Drosophila melanogaster: one gene and its partners. The protein of the gene in region 1 interacts with the protein of each later gene in a pairwise test. Each region holds a gene or a part of one and is shown in the gene's direction. Other genes may lie near its edges.

Region 1 (3,021 bases):
TCTGGTACCTCTGGCTTAGTACATTGACTTTCATGAGGCGTACATGCGGTTAATATCATGCTGATATCTGTCCTGGATATCCTTGCGCTTCAGCTTGAAGGCGGCGGTTACCAGCCCCATGTCCGGAGACCAGACCTCCTTACAAAGTGTGATGGCGGCGGGAACCTCATATTTTTGCAATTTACCTTTAAGATTAAACAATTTGCCATTAAAAACTTTGAAAAATACTCAAATCTGCATCGTAGCTTACATTTCCGCGCATGCTCAGCAATTTCCTTGAGAATAGCCTTCTCTATGATCGGTGATGAGCACAGCTCCTCAAAGGACTTATCACCCAGGCCATGTTTCTGTGCCAGCTCCTCCAAATGGTTTTGGTTGGGAACGACCAGCGCCACTGTGTACTGCTTTGTCGGATCTCCGTATACGCAAATGTTCTCGATGATTCCGCAAGTCTTAAGCTCAGATTCAACTTTGCCAAGGGAAACATACTCGCCGGCCTGCAGCTTAACCAGATCCTTCTTACGATCTGCAAAAAGCGTATTATAATAAAAAAAATGAAAGAAAAAGCACTGTGCTAAATAACTTACCAATAATCTTAAGTACGCCATCAGCTTGTATTTCGCCAATGTCGCCGGTTTTAAACCATCTCTGTCCATCCTCCTCAAAGAAATCCTCGTTGGTCTTGCCGGGCAACTTGTAGTATCCCTGGGAGACACACTCGCCACCAATGAGAACCTCACCCTGGGGATAAGGTTTATTTGTGACGCGGTAGTTGCCTTCTTCCCAGTTGACTAGACGGATGTCGCAGACAGTTAATGGTCCTCCAGTGCGTCCATAGGTCATATCACGGTCTTGTATTGGGTATAAAGTTATTTACTTGTTTTCAAAAGAAAGGTCGATCTGCGATCACTTACAGTCCATGACAGTGGCTCCAGACGTAGTTTCCGTAAGGCCATAGCCCTGAATCAGCTCCAAGCACAAGCAGGTCTTGATCTGCTCATGTGTATCTGCTGACAGAGGCGCTCCGCCAGACATGATAATGCGCACTTTGCCACCCATTAGCTTTGCCACCTTCTTGAACACCAGTCTGCAAGAAAAATAATAGTTTTAGTTAGCAACTCATGATATTTATGAGCACACCGTTCTTACTTATCAATCAGCGGCGTCTTGTACCCCCTCTGCACCCACTTGACTTTGTACTGGTAAAGGAATTTGAAGAGTGATTTCTTGAACGCCGAGCCAGAGTTAACCTTGTCGTTAATACCCTTGGAAATGCGATCCAATATCAGCGGCACCGAAGTCATGCAGGTGGGCTTCAGGACGGTGGCATCGCCCTTGCACCCGCGTTTGATCTTGCTGCTAGTGTCGATCAGAGTCAAGGGGGTCGAGTAGCCAATTGGAACGCCAGTCATGAGACACACACTTTCCGCAACCAATTCAAAAACGTGAGCCAGGGGCAGGAATCCGATCAGTACATCATCCGGATAGATAGGCACCATATCAACAAATCCCTTCATTGTCGCAATGCAGTTCTTGTGCGAGAGGAGGACACCCTTAGGTGTGCCAGTGGATCCGGAAGTGTACATGATAATGGCAATGTCATCTCCCTTGGGTGGAACGTGCTCTGTGGGATACAAAATAAAGTCAATTAGTACTAGTTTAATATTTAACAAATTCCTTGCGCATAGCACGCTATACATATGCTGTCAACATTTCAGTGCTGAATTAAAAGCGCATACTTTCGGTAAACAGAAAGAACTCTTTCCAAATTGTGTAGGGTGATTTTTTAGTTCAGACACCATTCGAAATGGCTGAAGTCCTAGAGGAATTCATCACCCTAACGCCCTTGACTTGTGTGCAACAATGCAATGCTTTACTAGGCTCAACATCAGGAAAGCCGAGAAGCTGCTCCGTATTTTTTACACTATTTGGCGTATACTGCGGCGTTCTCATCTTTCGGGCGTATCGCACATATTCCTCTAAGCAAGAAAGAGACGAGGAAAAGATAACCGAAGGAGTTACCCTTGAGGCTAAGGAGGAAGATTTGATCATAGGACCTGGTTCCAGTCTTGTGAACGAATATGTAGAACAAACGAAGCCGATTCTGTTGCAACCCGTCGGTTTTTCCAGTACTGACATGAGGTGAGAGTTGTAGATTAAAACACTGGATGACCCATCAACACATTCTGTCTCGATTAGATGGCGCTATTGCAACCACTTGCCGGAAGCAGAATTAGCACAAGGCTCTGATAGTGAAAACAGATCAACCGAAAGAGATGACATTGATAACCTCGAAAGGATGAGCAATGTTGTGGATGATAATGATGCGCAGAAGCCGGTTGCATCCACATCGATGGCAACGGCTCGGGCGCCTGAGGATAACGCCGATGGTGAACACGTCGAGCCCACACCATTTTCGGTGTGAAACACGATGCATTTTAGCAAATTTATCGTGTAATTGACATAAATAAATCATCTTTTAAGACCCTTTCAAAACGTACCAAATTTACTGTCCTGTCCTGTCTTGACAACTTGGTTAAACGGCAAGATCTTGACGCCCTCCTTGAAGCCAGTGGTTTCTGTCTTTTGCAGCTGATCCTCAATATAGATAATAGTCTTCACCAATGGGCATTTGTCGAGCAGCGTCTTAAACTTGGGCAGCAGATCATGGGAGGTGATAACCGTGGTGACTTCCGTTTCGGTGATGCCTGGCAACAGAGCAAAATATTATTTAAAAACCATACACATGGTAAGCCAATTTACTCACAATGAGCAACTCCATCATCGCCCAGCGTAGCATAGACAGTGACAATGGGCATAGCCTGCTTAAAGCATCCGTGGGCAGCTATCATCCATTCGGCTCGCGTTTCGGCAAAGATGACAATGTTCTCGCGTGGTTTCTGGCCAAGTTCTCGCAGACCGCGCCCGAAATTAGCCGCCGTGCGCTCCGCCTCGGTGAACGTCTTCCACTTGTAGTCACCGAGGTTGTACTTCTTGAAGACTCGACCGTTCTGCTGCACC
Region 2 (3,045 bases), on another chromosome or scaffold:
GAATTGTAGAACTACTAACTTGTTTGCCAATTGTATTTTTTGATTCTAAGGCAATTTTTACCGGACTGGCACTAGGATTCTTCGCCACAACTCCAAGTATTTGCCTGCATTGCCTTTGGTCCAGCACAGGTTTTCGGCCTGATCTTTTTTTATTTTTTAATGTGCCAACTGTATCAAACTTTTTTATTAAGTAGTAGACAGTTCTACGCGAAATTTGATATATTTCAGCTATTTTGGCCGCAGGTGTACCGGCTTTAAACCTAGCAACAATACCAGCCCGGGCCTCAACTGTTAACTCTTTTGTTTTGGGCATTTTATTTAATAACTGTAATAGGAAAATGATTAAATCTAATTTTTATTCAATAATTTAAATGTATTTAAGCAAACAAACCGGCACTTGTCACTCTAAACCAATCACTGAAGAAGAAATTGCGTTGTGAAAATAATTGTGATGCGACGAAACCGTGTGCAAATACTTCTGACAACTGATAAAGATCTCTTCATTTGCCTCTTCCTTGCGCATAGGAACAGTTATTTTTTCAATTCTTCTTTCATCTGACTCTGCATAGGTTTGAATTTGCAAAAGCAAAAGTTTTTTTGCATTTCACCTCCCCCCACTTGCTGCACAAGCAACTGTTTGTGACCCATGCACAAAAATGCACTTTGTGAAAATAATTTTGACCATGACTGTATGTTACACATGCCGCAAAGGCGGTCTTGTCTTGCTGGTCCTGGCCAAAATACAATTTGGCCCAGCTAAGAGGCTTCGACGACCTCGGCTTTAATATGGCGAACTGGACGGGGAGCCGTGCAGTCTGTCTGCCCGAGTTTAATCGCATTTAGCTCATTTAGCGGCAAATTGAATTTGCCAACGTCACGGCCCTCAACAAAACCCCTGAATAGGCCACGCCGAAAATGAGAAATTCAATTAAAATCAAATTTTTTCAACATCAGCCGCCCAGAGACGTCTTTAAACGGATTTTCAGTTACAATTTCGACGCTTTAACTCCGCAAAAACACACACAAAATCGAAGCCAGGATAAATAGGCAGGAATAATTGAGCGGCTGCTGGTGCCGTCGGGGCATCATTCCATCATTTCCCAATCCCAGGCCCTACCCATCGCAACCCCAGCCCCGCCCACTCACGCCCCTTCTGGGAAAAAAACACGAGATAATCGCCTCAGTTTCCATTGCGGCCCACAAAATTTTTATGCGTGGCAACATTTTTTGCGCTTGGCTTCAGTTTCGCACAGGCCAGTGCTCGTGATTAGCTTTGGTCATGGATGGACTCGTCATGGTTGTCGGAGAGGGATGTGGGAGCTCCTGGCGGTAGATGGAGCAGAAGAAAAAGGCTTTGGCCCAGTGAGTAGCGCGATAATTAGGACTCAAAATCCTAGTCCCGAAGATGATTTATGACGCCAGCGCTGCTGGAGTTCATTGCTGGCTAATTTATTACGCTCTCGCCGTGAGGGATCAACTGTTTCTTCTTAGCTCCACCGCCCACGTGCTCCTCAAAGTCAATATTTTCTTGATGTGTAACTAAAATATAATTGAGTGGCTACTGAGCTCGGCTCCATGTTGTCTTCAAAACTTACCTGAAAGGATTTTAAATTGAGCTTGCCAAAAAATTACTTTGCTTGAATTATTACCAATATTTATAATTTAAACTTGTAAATATGCAAACAGATCAAGACGCTGAGCGCAAATAGTAAATAAATGGAAACTAAAGTAGTAAATCAAAAACAGAACTAGAAATGAAAATCTAGAAGCTAAAGCAGCTGCTTCTAATGCAAAGACGATAAATGAATGAGTCAATGCTAAACATTTGTACTTTTTCAAGAACAAATTGTGCTTCGGTTTTTTCCATTTACCTCATACGTTTCTTTGATATGATTTCTGTGACGTAACCGGGCAGCAGCTGTTTTTGAGGGGACTTCTGTGGGAAAATATGAAGTCTTAGAGAATATAAAAAGGCTTAGGCTTTTGGAAAAAGCATCACAACCTGAATTTCCACTAAGCAAAGCCGAACTGCCAGAGAGAAAATGCGTTCCTTCATTCTGATTGCCCTCTTCGCCCTGATTGCCCTGGCTGCTGCTCAAGGCGGACCACAAGGTGGACAGCAGGGTGGGCAAGGAGGATCTCAAAATGGTCAGCAAGGAGGCCAGCAGGGAGGCTCCCAGGAAGGATCCCAGGAAGGATCCCAGGAAGGACAACAGGGAGGTCAGCAGGGAGGTCAGCAGCAGGGTGGTCCTGGCGGTCCATGGGGTCTGCCTCCGAATGGAACTGAACTCTCCAACAGTACCACAACTTCGACCACTGAGGCTACCAGCACTGAATCCAGCAGCACAGAGGTTTCCTCTTCGTAACTTATAGATTGATCCTAATGAAAGCGAACAGGCTTGCTCAGTTCCTTACCATTCCCTTTATCAATACAAGTTCTTGAAATAAATTGATATCAGTACTCTAATGTGTTGTAGCTAAATTCGGTTAAAATCCGCTTTTAAGCGTCATGGAGTCATTAAAGCTAATGCCTGCAAATCGTTTAATTAAGCCTGTGCTCATATGACAAAAAATGCTGGGAATTATTCTGAAGCAGCAATTGACGCCAAAAAGTGTGCAACACTTTTGTGCTGCTGCTAAAAACCACTTTCGAGCAAATCCCAGGAATGCAACCTCCTTTCCCCGAGCATCCCGCAAAATTGCCACTAAAAGAGTTCCCCCCTCCCCGCACCGAAATCAGCGACAAACAGCAGTTGCAAACGGCAGTGGGAAAAGTGTAGGGGAAAACGCATATGCGGTGGCTCATGAAATGCAGTACAAAGTCGTCTTCCTCATCCACTCGCTGCTCAGCGAAGCGGCCACTTTTAGTGCACTGGAGTGTTTGGTCGCAGAGGGGGTGGCTTTTTAGGGGGCGGAACTGGCTGGGCGGTGGTCGGTGGGTGGAAGGCCATCAGTCGTGGACCGGCGAAGTGATCAATTGATTTGCATTTCCCACTCCGGGCAGAGCGGACACCAGAGTGCAGTGCAAAGGCGCTTCAAGCCAGC
Region 3 (3,106 bases), on another chromosome or scaffold:
TTAGCTTGCGTGATTTTATGTTCAACAACACTACAATAACTCTTTCTTTTTAGATAATGCTGAAACCCGAATTTCTCTGACAGAAACCCTACGTAAGAAGGATTTCCACACTTGTAAGTTTAAAGTGTTATGTGTACGTATATATAAATATGGGAGTATTTGAGGCCAAGTCTTAAGCTATTGTCTAGGAAACAAAATACCAAATACAAAAACGAAACTAAGGGTATTCTTTAAAACAACATGAATTTTGTTTGTATTTATTAAATCTATGAAAATGATCCGTAAACAAAAGTAAAGAAAAATAATTTTGCACATATTTTTTTTAGGAAATCTTTAGAACTGTCTGTAAAAATATATATTTAGAGTAACCCCTGAATAATGATTAAATACTTATGCATAATTTTTATTTATTTTACAGGGCTCCCTTGCATGATGCCAGAAAAGTGGACGTAAAAAATCTAATAAAATTATATTTATAGAAACAGAATGCAGCTTGCCATAGTTTTATTTTTTAAATATTTTTGAGAGACGGTTGGGAAAAGGGAGAAAAAATATTGATACATCGTGTAGGCTGGAATAACTAATTCAAAGTCACACCAATACTTTTTCCAAACCAGTTTTGCAATCTGCAGTAAAGTTTTTACAAATTGATCAAATCACTTTCGTTATAATGAGGTTTCGGTCGCTGAAGAACATATGGCCAAAAGAGAAGTTGGAGCAATTCCTATTTTTGTTCATTTTATGTGGCTTGCCCGCCATATACTATGTTCTAATGGAGATAATTCTGCCGGAGTTGTCGGATTATTGGTCACCTGGTTACGTATTTCAGCTGCTGCTGGGACTGTTCCTCTTTTCGAATGTGATGTCCAACTATGTCATGTGCATCCTGGTGGACCCCAGCATCGATCCCAAGCTTATGAAGAATCAGTTGGTGCGCGGACAGCACAGTGAGGACTGGCACGAGTGCGACAAGTGCGGGATTCTTGCTCCACCCCGGTCACGTCACTGCAGGAAGTGTGGCGTCTGTGTCCTGATGCGAGATCATCACTGCTTCTTTACTGGTTGCTGCATCGGTCATGAGAACTATAGATACTTTTTCTATTTTCTTATCTACTTTTTTCTAAGCTGCATGATTTCACTAACGTCATCTTCGATATTTATTTACGTTCTGCATGGGGGCAGATACCAGCTCTTTATGCTGACACATCCCGCACCGAACTCTGCCTATTTTAACTCGCTTATTATCAGGATAATCTACTTTAAGTTGCCCGATATATACGAGCTGGTGTTCACTCTGGTATTCGTCCTGCTGTGGATCGGGGTATGCGTAGCTACCTATGTGGCTTATGATCAGTGGTCTCGTGGCTATTTTTGCTATGATTTTGAACTTCAAAACATTCCTTTTGACCGAAAACTGCGCCGAAACTTCAAGACGTTCTTGGGCAGGCGAATGAAGTGGACCTGGATCTCCGGATTTGTTCCCAGCCAGCTGGACCACGACGGATTTGATCTGGATCCCGACAACGAACGTGTGGCAGATTGGTGCTCAGAAACAACCATCAAGGATGGCTAAATAATTTTATGCATTCTCTGTGTTTTCCAAATTACCGGTGCGATGAAAAATTAAAAATTCGAATTCATTTGATTAGTTCAGGCATGCAAGAAAGCTTTCCAAATTAAAAAGTTAAATATTTAAGGATGTGTTATTATGCGATATGTGTATGTTTCGTTTTATTTGGTCTCTACTGTGCTTGCTGATTTTCCCCAGGTTGGCAGTCTCGTCAGCTGTTTTCCTGATAACATTGACTTGCCGCAAAATGCTTGTTTGTTTAGTCTGAAATTGGCATCTGGTCAAGATCAACTGCCAGTAGGTAGAGACCACATATGGAGCCCACCAATTCGGAGTCGCGGCACCGCCTAAATGGAGGGGGCAGGAGTTCCGCGCCAGCAGGCTCCGGAGAGTACATCAAGGTGGTGGAGTCCCAATGCGAGACCGATGGATTCGTTAATGAACAGTGGACGGAACCGGCGATGCCAGGTCCAGTGCCTTGGAAGACCATTATTATCATTCTTTTGCTGTTTATCGGTGGCATTGTGAGTAGTGATTACTGGTGCCCACACATACATGCACAGTTCCTTCGAACTTCTGATCTGATGTCTTTGTCTTCAGGTTTGCATCGCCTTTGCCACCTTAAACTGGGTGACGGACACGAGCCGGGAGCGATCGGATCGGGTGTGGGCGTTGGGTATCATCGGGGCACTGACCTTCATCCCGGGAAGCTACTATGTGTACGTGCTCTTCTGCATAATGCTCAACCGCAACGGATTCACCATGGACGAGATACGAAGACTCGGCTGAAAAGGAGAAACCAAAGACACCAAATGTTTCGTCAAATAGAGTTTATTGCTTTTACACTACAGTTATTCACACATTTCATTGGCATAATTTCTTTAGCAACAATCTTAATATGTAGTTCATTATGATACATGTGTATTGCCCCGGTAATTGTATAAAAATATTTTTTAAACACGAGCTTCGTTATCAAAATGTATAATGCTTGGCGTGGCTTCTAGTGCGCGGAACATTGGCTATCTATTTAAATAGCGCATCGCTTGCTTAAATATGTATATGTTTTACAGGCATGAACTATAGGTTATATGATTTATGTTATGGCCATTTTCTCTATCAAGCTTGGGGCACAGTATAACTTTGTGTTTCAGCTTAATTATATACAGTGTTATGCGTTACATGTTGTATCTATGTAGGTAAGAATTCTTTACAAACAATTGCTTTTCGTGTTTACGGATATAACAGGGCGCGTGGGAATCAAATACTTTAACAAGAGTAGGGGATTAGTATGGGGTGTATACACAATACATACACAAACATTGTAACGAAATTAAACTAGCGACAGGTAACATTTCACTGCTCCACGACGGTCACCTCGATGGGCGGAATGAACTTCCACACATGCGCCTGCTGCTCATCGTAGCTGGAGGAGAACATGACCGATTGGCCGACACTCTCCGCTTCTGCCGGACAGGAGCGGGTTAGCAATGACGACGGCTGCTCCGACTGCTTCTGCGGATTGCTGGTGCATTCGAT
Region 4 (4,886 bases), on another chromosome or scaffold:
TTTATTTTGGTTGAGGGGCGACCTGTTGGCTTTTCGATGATTTGGGAGATCCGCAATTAAATTTGCATAGCCAATCGGTATAATGACTAAAAAAAAAACGTAGTTTCGATATCGGATTTTCACGCTTCTCTCGGCGAACTCGAACTTTTTCCACACACGCACACCGAACAACTGATTTCAATTCGTTGGGAGAGAAAATCGGATGGTGTGACCGCTAATATGCCACCAGTATATACCAGTTTTCGAAAGAGCTTTTTCAAAGCTCAACACACTAAAAATACTGGAATTAAACTACAATTCATTTATTAAGCTACCAAATAACGTACATTTTTGAACAATATTGTTCATTTTTCAAGAGTAACGCAGTCTGCTTTATTTAATCCTTTTTGTTGTCATCGCCTTCACACTTTCCTTCCTCCTTCTTTTGTTGCTCCTTCTTTTTGATGTCTTCTTCCTTCTTTTGGCACCAAGCTTTCAGTTCATCCTCGCTCATGTCCTGGACTTTCTTCTCCTTGGGCGAGGACTTGGCCTCCTTCTTTTCCTGCTCCTTCTTTTTGATGTCCTCTTCCTTTTTCTGGCACCAAGCCTTCAGTTCCTCCTCGCTCATGTCCTGGATTTTCTTCTCCTTGGGCGAGGACTTGGCCTCCTTCTTTTCCTGCTCCTTCTTTTTGATGTCCTCCTCCTTTTTCTTGCACCACTCCTTTAGCTCCTCCTCACTCATCTCCTGGAGACACTTCTCCTCGGCCGAAGATTTGGCCTTCTGGATTTTCTTGGCTTGGTTGGAGAGTATCGCATCGCACTCGCTTTCCAGCTTCTTCATGGTCTCCAGTTGGGCCTCGCCACACTCGGATTCTTCGTCGGCTTCGATGGATGCCTGTAGTCCTCCGTCCAATCGACGTTCGTCTCGTAACTCCACAGCCGTGACCGTGAGTTCCATAAATGAGAATCGATGATAGCCAAAGTAAGTTGGGTTCTTGTAGGGCAGCGCTTTGCCTGCTCCTGGTCCCAGCTTCTCATCCGGTCCACTGAACTGGCGGAAGGAAGAGGGTCTCACAAACGGCGGCACATCGATCCCATTGTGATCGACACTGGTCGGTTGGTAGCCCTCATCCGGTGGATCCTTTGGTGGGCGAGGGGTGTTCGATGGCTTGTTGCTCAACTTGGGCTTATCAGACAGGCGGCGAAGAATTACAGGTTTTATGAACAATCGAAGTGGATTCTTAGACATTTTCGGGAGCACTTTTGTTTTAAAGTAAATGTTTTTAAATTTTACTGTTGCTCAAAACAGGAGATGTCATTTTCAGAGGTTACTGTGTAAAATTGAAAATATACATCTCTACATCACGTATACGCCCTGATATCCTAAAGCTTTATTCTGTAAAGTAAAATGTAAGCTTTGTGTGGAAGTATCGACTAACTAGAAATGTTGAATTCAATGATGTCCAAGCTTTTGCCATAATATATTAGGTATAAAGAGTTTGATGATTGTCGATGAACTTTTCGGGAGGTTCAAACCGATCAGCAAACTGGTTAAGGCCTTCATTCTGGTTTTATTATTTCCACTTAAGAGTGCACATAATATTTTGGCATACATTTCGGATTGCTGCACTCCGGTTTCCCACGTTCCCCGCGAAGTCTTCTGATACGGCTGATTATCGTGCAATTATCTTTCCAAGATTATCAGCACGGTTTACGAACGAGAGGTGTTGAGCGGCTTCGACCGGGATCCGAAATTTAGTATCCGTCCGGTGGGCCAGGCACTCGGTTGAGTCCCCAAGAAATCTGGTTGGGCCGGGAATTCGCAATCACGAAACGATCTTTGTCTCTTTGGCGACTTAATTGCGTGTGATAAAAGATTTATACGCCCGCGAGCTCAAGTAGCTTTATCAAATACTCGGTCGCTACTTTATCGCTATGAAGTGAGTAGTCTTCGTATTCTTCTGGTTTCGAGATCGTAAAAAATAAGCTAACTGATGCGCAAACACAATAAATGACAAAACATTAGCCTCAACCAAATCCCGGTTAAGAAATTGTATATTTTTACGACCTTTAATTTTGAACCAACATCTTTTCTCGAGGAACCTCCTTGGCGCTTATTGTTTAACGACCCGAACCCATTTATCAATCAATCAATTCACCTCAAAAACAACTTTTAATTGCTCCCCCAACAGCGACGATATAAAAACCGTGACGGTTTACCCAACCACACTGGAATTAACGACCCCAACAAAATCAGCGAATGGCAGTAACGATGATTACGATCCTCATCAGCACCGCGAGCTGAAGAATCCCACTACGTAAGCATAGATTTTCAACAGTGCTGAGCTCAGAGAATCATTTTCAGGCCCCACTTTCCCCAGAAACTTTCAGACATTCGCCCACTTCCTGAAGGCTTCCGTGGGCACTGGCGTCCTGGCCATGCCCAGTGCCTTCGCACACGCAGGATATGTGAATGGCACCCTTCTCACGCTGATCATTGGATCGCTGGCCCTCTACTGCCTGCACATTTTGGTGGGTTTTTGGTGGGAGTCACATAGAAATTTCCTTACTTACTTATATATACTTGATTTACAGATCAAATGCATGTACATACTGTGCAAGCGGCAGCGGGTTCCCTACGTCAGCTTTTCGCAGGCCATGAATCTGGGACTCAAACAAGGTCCACCCTGGCTGCGTTGTTTGGCACCCATTGCCGTGTAAGTGAAGTAACTCGGCAAAACAACTGCTATCTATAACTTCCCTCTATATATTGATTAACTTTCTAAGTGCTTTTTAATGATTACTCAATTGGGTAATGAAAATCTTATCTTGTTGTTGATCAATAGATTTTCACTACGATTTATTGTATCTTTATCTTTACAATAGCACCCTAAAATATGGGGGCACATCCCAATAGTTTGTTTAGTAATTGGTTTACATCGCTTATCAATAATATCTTGAGGGTTTTTTTTATTCAATTACTTGCTTAAGTTGCGGAAGGTTTACCAATTTACATTTTAGCCAAGTGTTGAGTACCTATTGTGAAATTTGTTTCCTAGTGGCTTTAGCATTTAACTTAGGCATGAGGCATACTTACTTGTTTTATGTTTTATATATTGTATGTAAATCATATTTTATAGTGTTATTTTTCATCAGTCCCTTTGTAGATGGCTTCCTGGCCTTTTACCACTTCGGCATCTGTTGCGTCTACGTGGTTTTCATAGCGGAAAGCATAAAGCAGCTGGTGGATGAGTATCTGGTGGTCTGGGATGTGCGAATACACATGTGCATCATCATTGTGCCACTCCTGCTGATATATAGCATAAAGAATTTAAAGCTACTCGCGCCTTTTTCCAGTGCAGCAAATCTTTTGCTTCTAGTGGGTAAGTTTTTTGTTTAATTTGCATACTTTTTCTAAAAAGAAGTCATTAAGTTCCACTTTTTAATTTTTAACTAGGTTTCGGCATCATTTTGTACTACATCTTTGAGGAGCTACCACCCCTAAGTGAACGAGATCCTTTTGTGGCCGCCGGAAAGTTGCCCACCTTCTTTGGCACAGTGCTCTTTGCTCTGGAAGCAGTGGGAGTGGTAAGTCTTAAAAATAATAAACATATCATATATAATGCAATTTAATCATTTATCTTCTTTGAAAAGATCCTGGCAATTGAGGAGAATATGGCCACGCCCAAATCCTTTGTGGGCCCCTGTGGCATTTTGAATAGTGGCATGTCCATAGTGCTGGGCTTGTATGTTCTGCTCGGATTCTTTGGCTACTGGAAATATGGCAATGAGTCGGAGGGCAGTATTACACTGAATATTCCGCAGTCTGAAATGTGAGTTCTCAATGCTATTTAAGTGTTAGCCACTTAATGTTGAATTCCGCCTTTTAGACCCGCTCAGGTGGTAAAGGTATTCTTTGCCATCACCACTTGGATCTCATATGCCTTGCAGGGCTATGTGACTGCCCACATCCTGTGGGATAAATACTTGGCCAAGCGCTTCAAGGAAACCAGGCAGACATTCTATGAACTGATTTTCAGAGCCATAATCGTGCTGCTCACTTGTAAGGAAAGAAACATTTGATGAAATACTAGTTTTAATATGTTTATATATTTTTAGTTGGCTGCGCGGTTGCCATTCCGGATCTATCGGTCTTCCTCTCCCTGGTTGGCTCCTTTTGCCTTTCGATCCTGGGCCTCATCTTCCCCGTGCTACTCCAGATCTGCGTCCAGTACACCGAGGGCTATGGACCATTCCGGATAAAGTTGATCATCAATCTGCTGCTTTTGTGCTTTGGCATCTTTGGCGGAGTGGTGGGCACCTATGTTAGCATTTTGGACATCATTGCGGTGTACAAGTAAACTTCGAATTCGTTGTGGTTCAATAAACTCGACCTTAATTTACATTTGATGATGTGGCTAGAAGATTTATTGCAATTGGCCAATACACACACGCAGTAAACAATGTTGGCTTATGGCCTGCATAGTCGAACACATGCCAAAGTCATGCTGCCAAAGTAGACCAAATATTTTTAATTTTAATTAAAAGCTTAGCTCAGGTCTTGGCTCGGTTTGGTGGAAAATGTGCGGGGGGTGGAGGTGGTTAAAACGCAGTGCAGTCGGGAAAGCTGGCCAGTTGCAACGAACTGTAATTAAATGCAACCGCAATTAACACAAAAGCGCCGCAGGTCAGCAAGCCAGACACAGAACTCCACAACCTCCTTCCTTCGCAATCCAGCTGCATTTTATTTACAATGTTTTGCTCACAGGTTACTGACAACGCTTTCCTGCATCCTGCATCCTGCGTCCTGTCCTCTCCCCTCCCCCCGTCGACAACAATCCCCCCCTTCTACGGCAGGACCTCTTTGGCTGTCTTCTGCTGGCATGAAGGCCACAGAGTGCCGGACT

Evidence for each region.
Region 2: the proteins of CG30355 (region 1) and CG12506 interact in a two-hybrid assay, tested with the Drosophila melanogaster proteins (one large-scale study listed by BioGRID).
Region 3: the proteins of CG30355 (region 1) and CG2611 interact in a two-hybrid assay, tested with the Drosophila melanogaster proteins (one large-scale study listed by BioGRID).
Region 4: the proteins of CG30355 (region 1) and acs interact in a two-hybrid assay, tested with the Drosophila melanogaster proteins (one large-scale study listed by BioGRID).

The regions. Positions count from the first base shown.
Region 1 is NT_033778.4:8,678,615-8,681,635, reverse strand, and holds CG30355 (uncharacterized protein), read left to right. Parts: upstream 1-1,682; 5' UTR 1,683-1,807; coding exon 1,808-2,142; intron 2,143-2,199; coding exon 2,200-2,425; 3' UTR 2,426-2,490; downstream 2,491-3,021. Other genes in the region: Acsl (Acyl-CoA synthetase long-chain), read right to left, coding at 31-185, 251-526, 588-851, 915-1,087, 1,150-1,624, 2,502-2,708, 2,768-3,021.
Region 2 is NT_033779.5:771,553-774,597, forward strand, and holds CG12506 (uncharacterized protein), read left to right. Parts: upstream 1-1,994; 5' UTR 1,995-2,042; coding exon 2,043-2,366; 3' UTR 2,367-2,465; downstream 2,466-3,045.
Region 3 is NT_033779.5:20,648,367-20,651,472, forward strand, and holds CG2611 (uncharacterized protein), read left to right. Parts: upstream 1-1,822; 5' UTR 1,823-1,884; coding exon 1,885-2,094; intron 2,095-2,170; coding exon 2,171-2,359; 3' UTR 2,360-2,532; downstream 2,533-3,106. Other genes in the region: CG18810 (uncharacterized protein), read left to right, coding at 671-1,573; brun (brunelleschi), read right to left, coding at 2,924-3,106.
Region 4 is NT_037436.4:1,969,903-1,974,788, forward strand, and holds acs (arcus), read left to right. Parts: upstream 1-1,735; 5' UTR 1,736-1,914; coding exon 1,915-1,919; intron 1,920-2,171; coding exon 2,172-2,297; intron 2,298-2,360; coding exon 2,361-2,511; intron 2,512-2,574; coding exon 2,575-2,696; intron 2,697-3,135; coding exon 3,136-3,362; intron 3,363-3,436; coding exon 3,437-3,567; intron 3,568-3,633; coding exon 3,634-3,812; intron 3,813-3,869; coding exon 3,870-4,042; intron 4,043-4,098; coding exon 4,099-4,340; 3' UTR 4,341-4,383; downstream 4,384-4,886. Other genes in the region: CG11815 (uncharacterized protein), read right to left, coding at 377-1,228. UniProt on the Drosophila melanogaster protein: Amino acid transporter which has pH-dependent electrogenic transport activity for alanine, glycine and proline. Plays a role in positive regulation of growth by directly or indirectly modulating the effects of the TOR signaling pathway.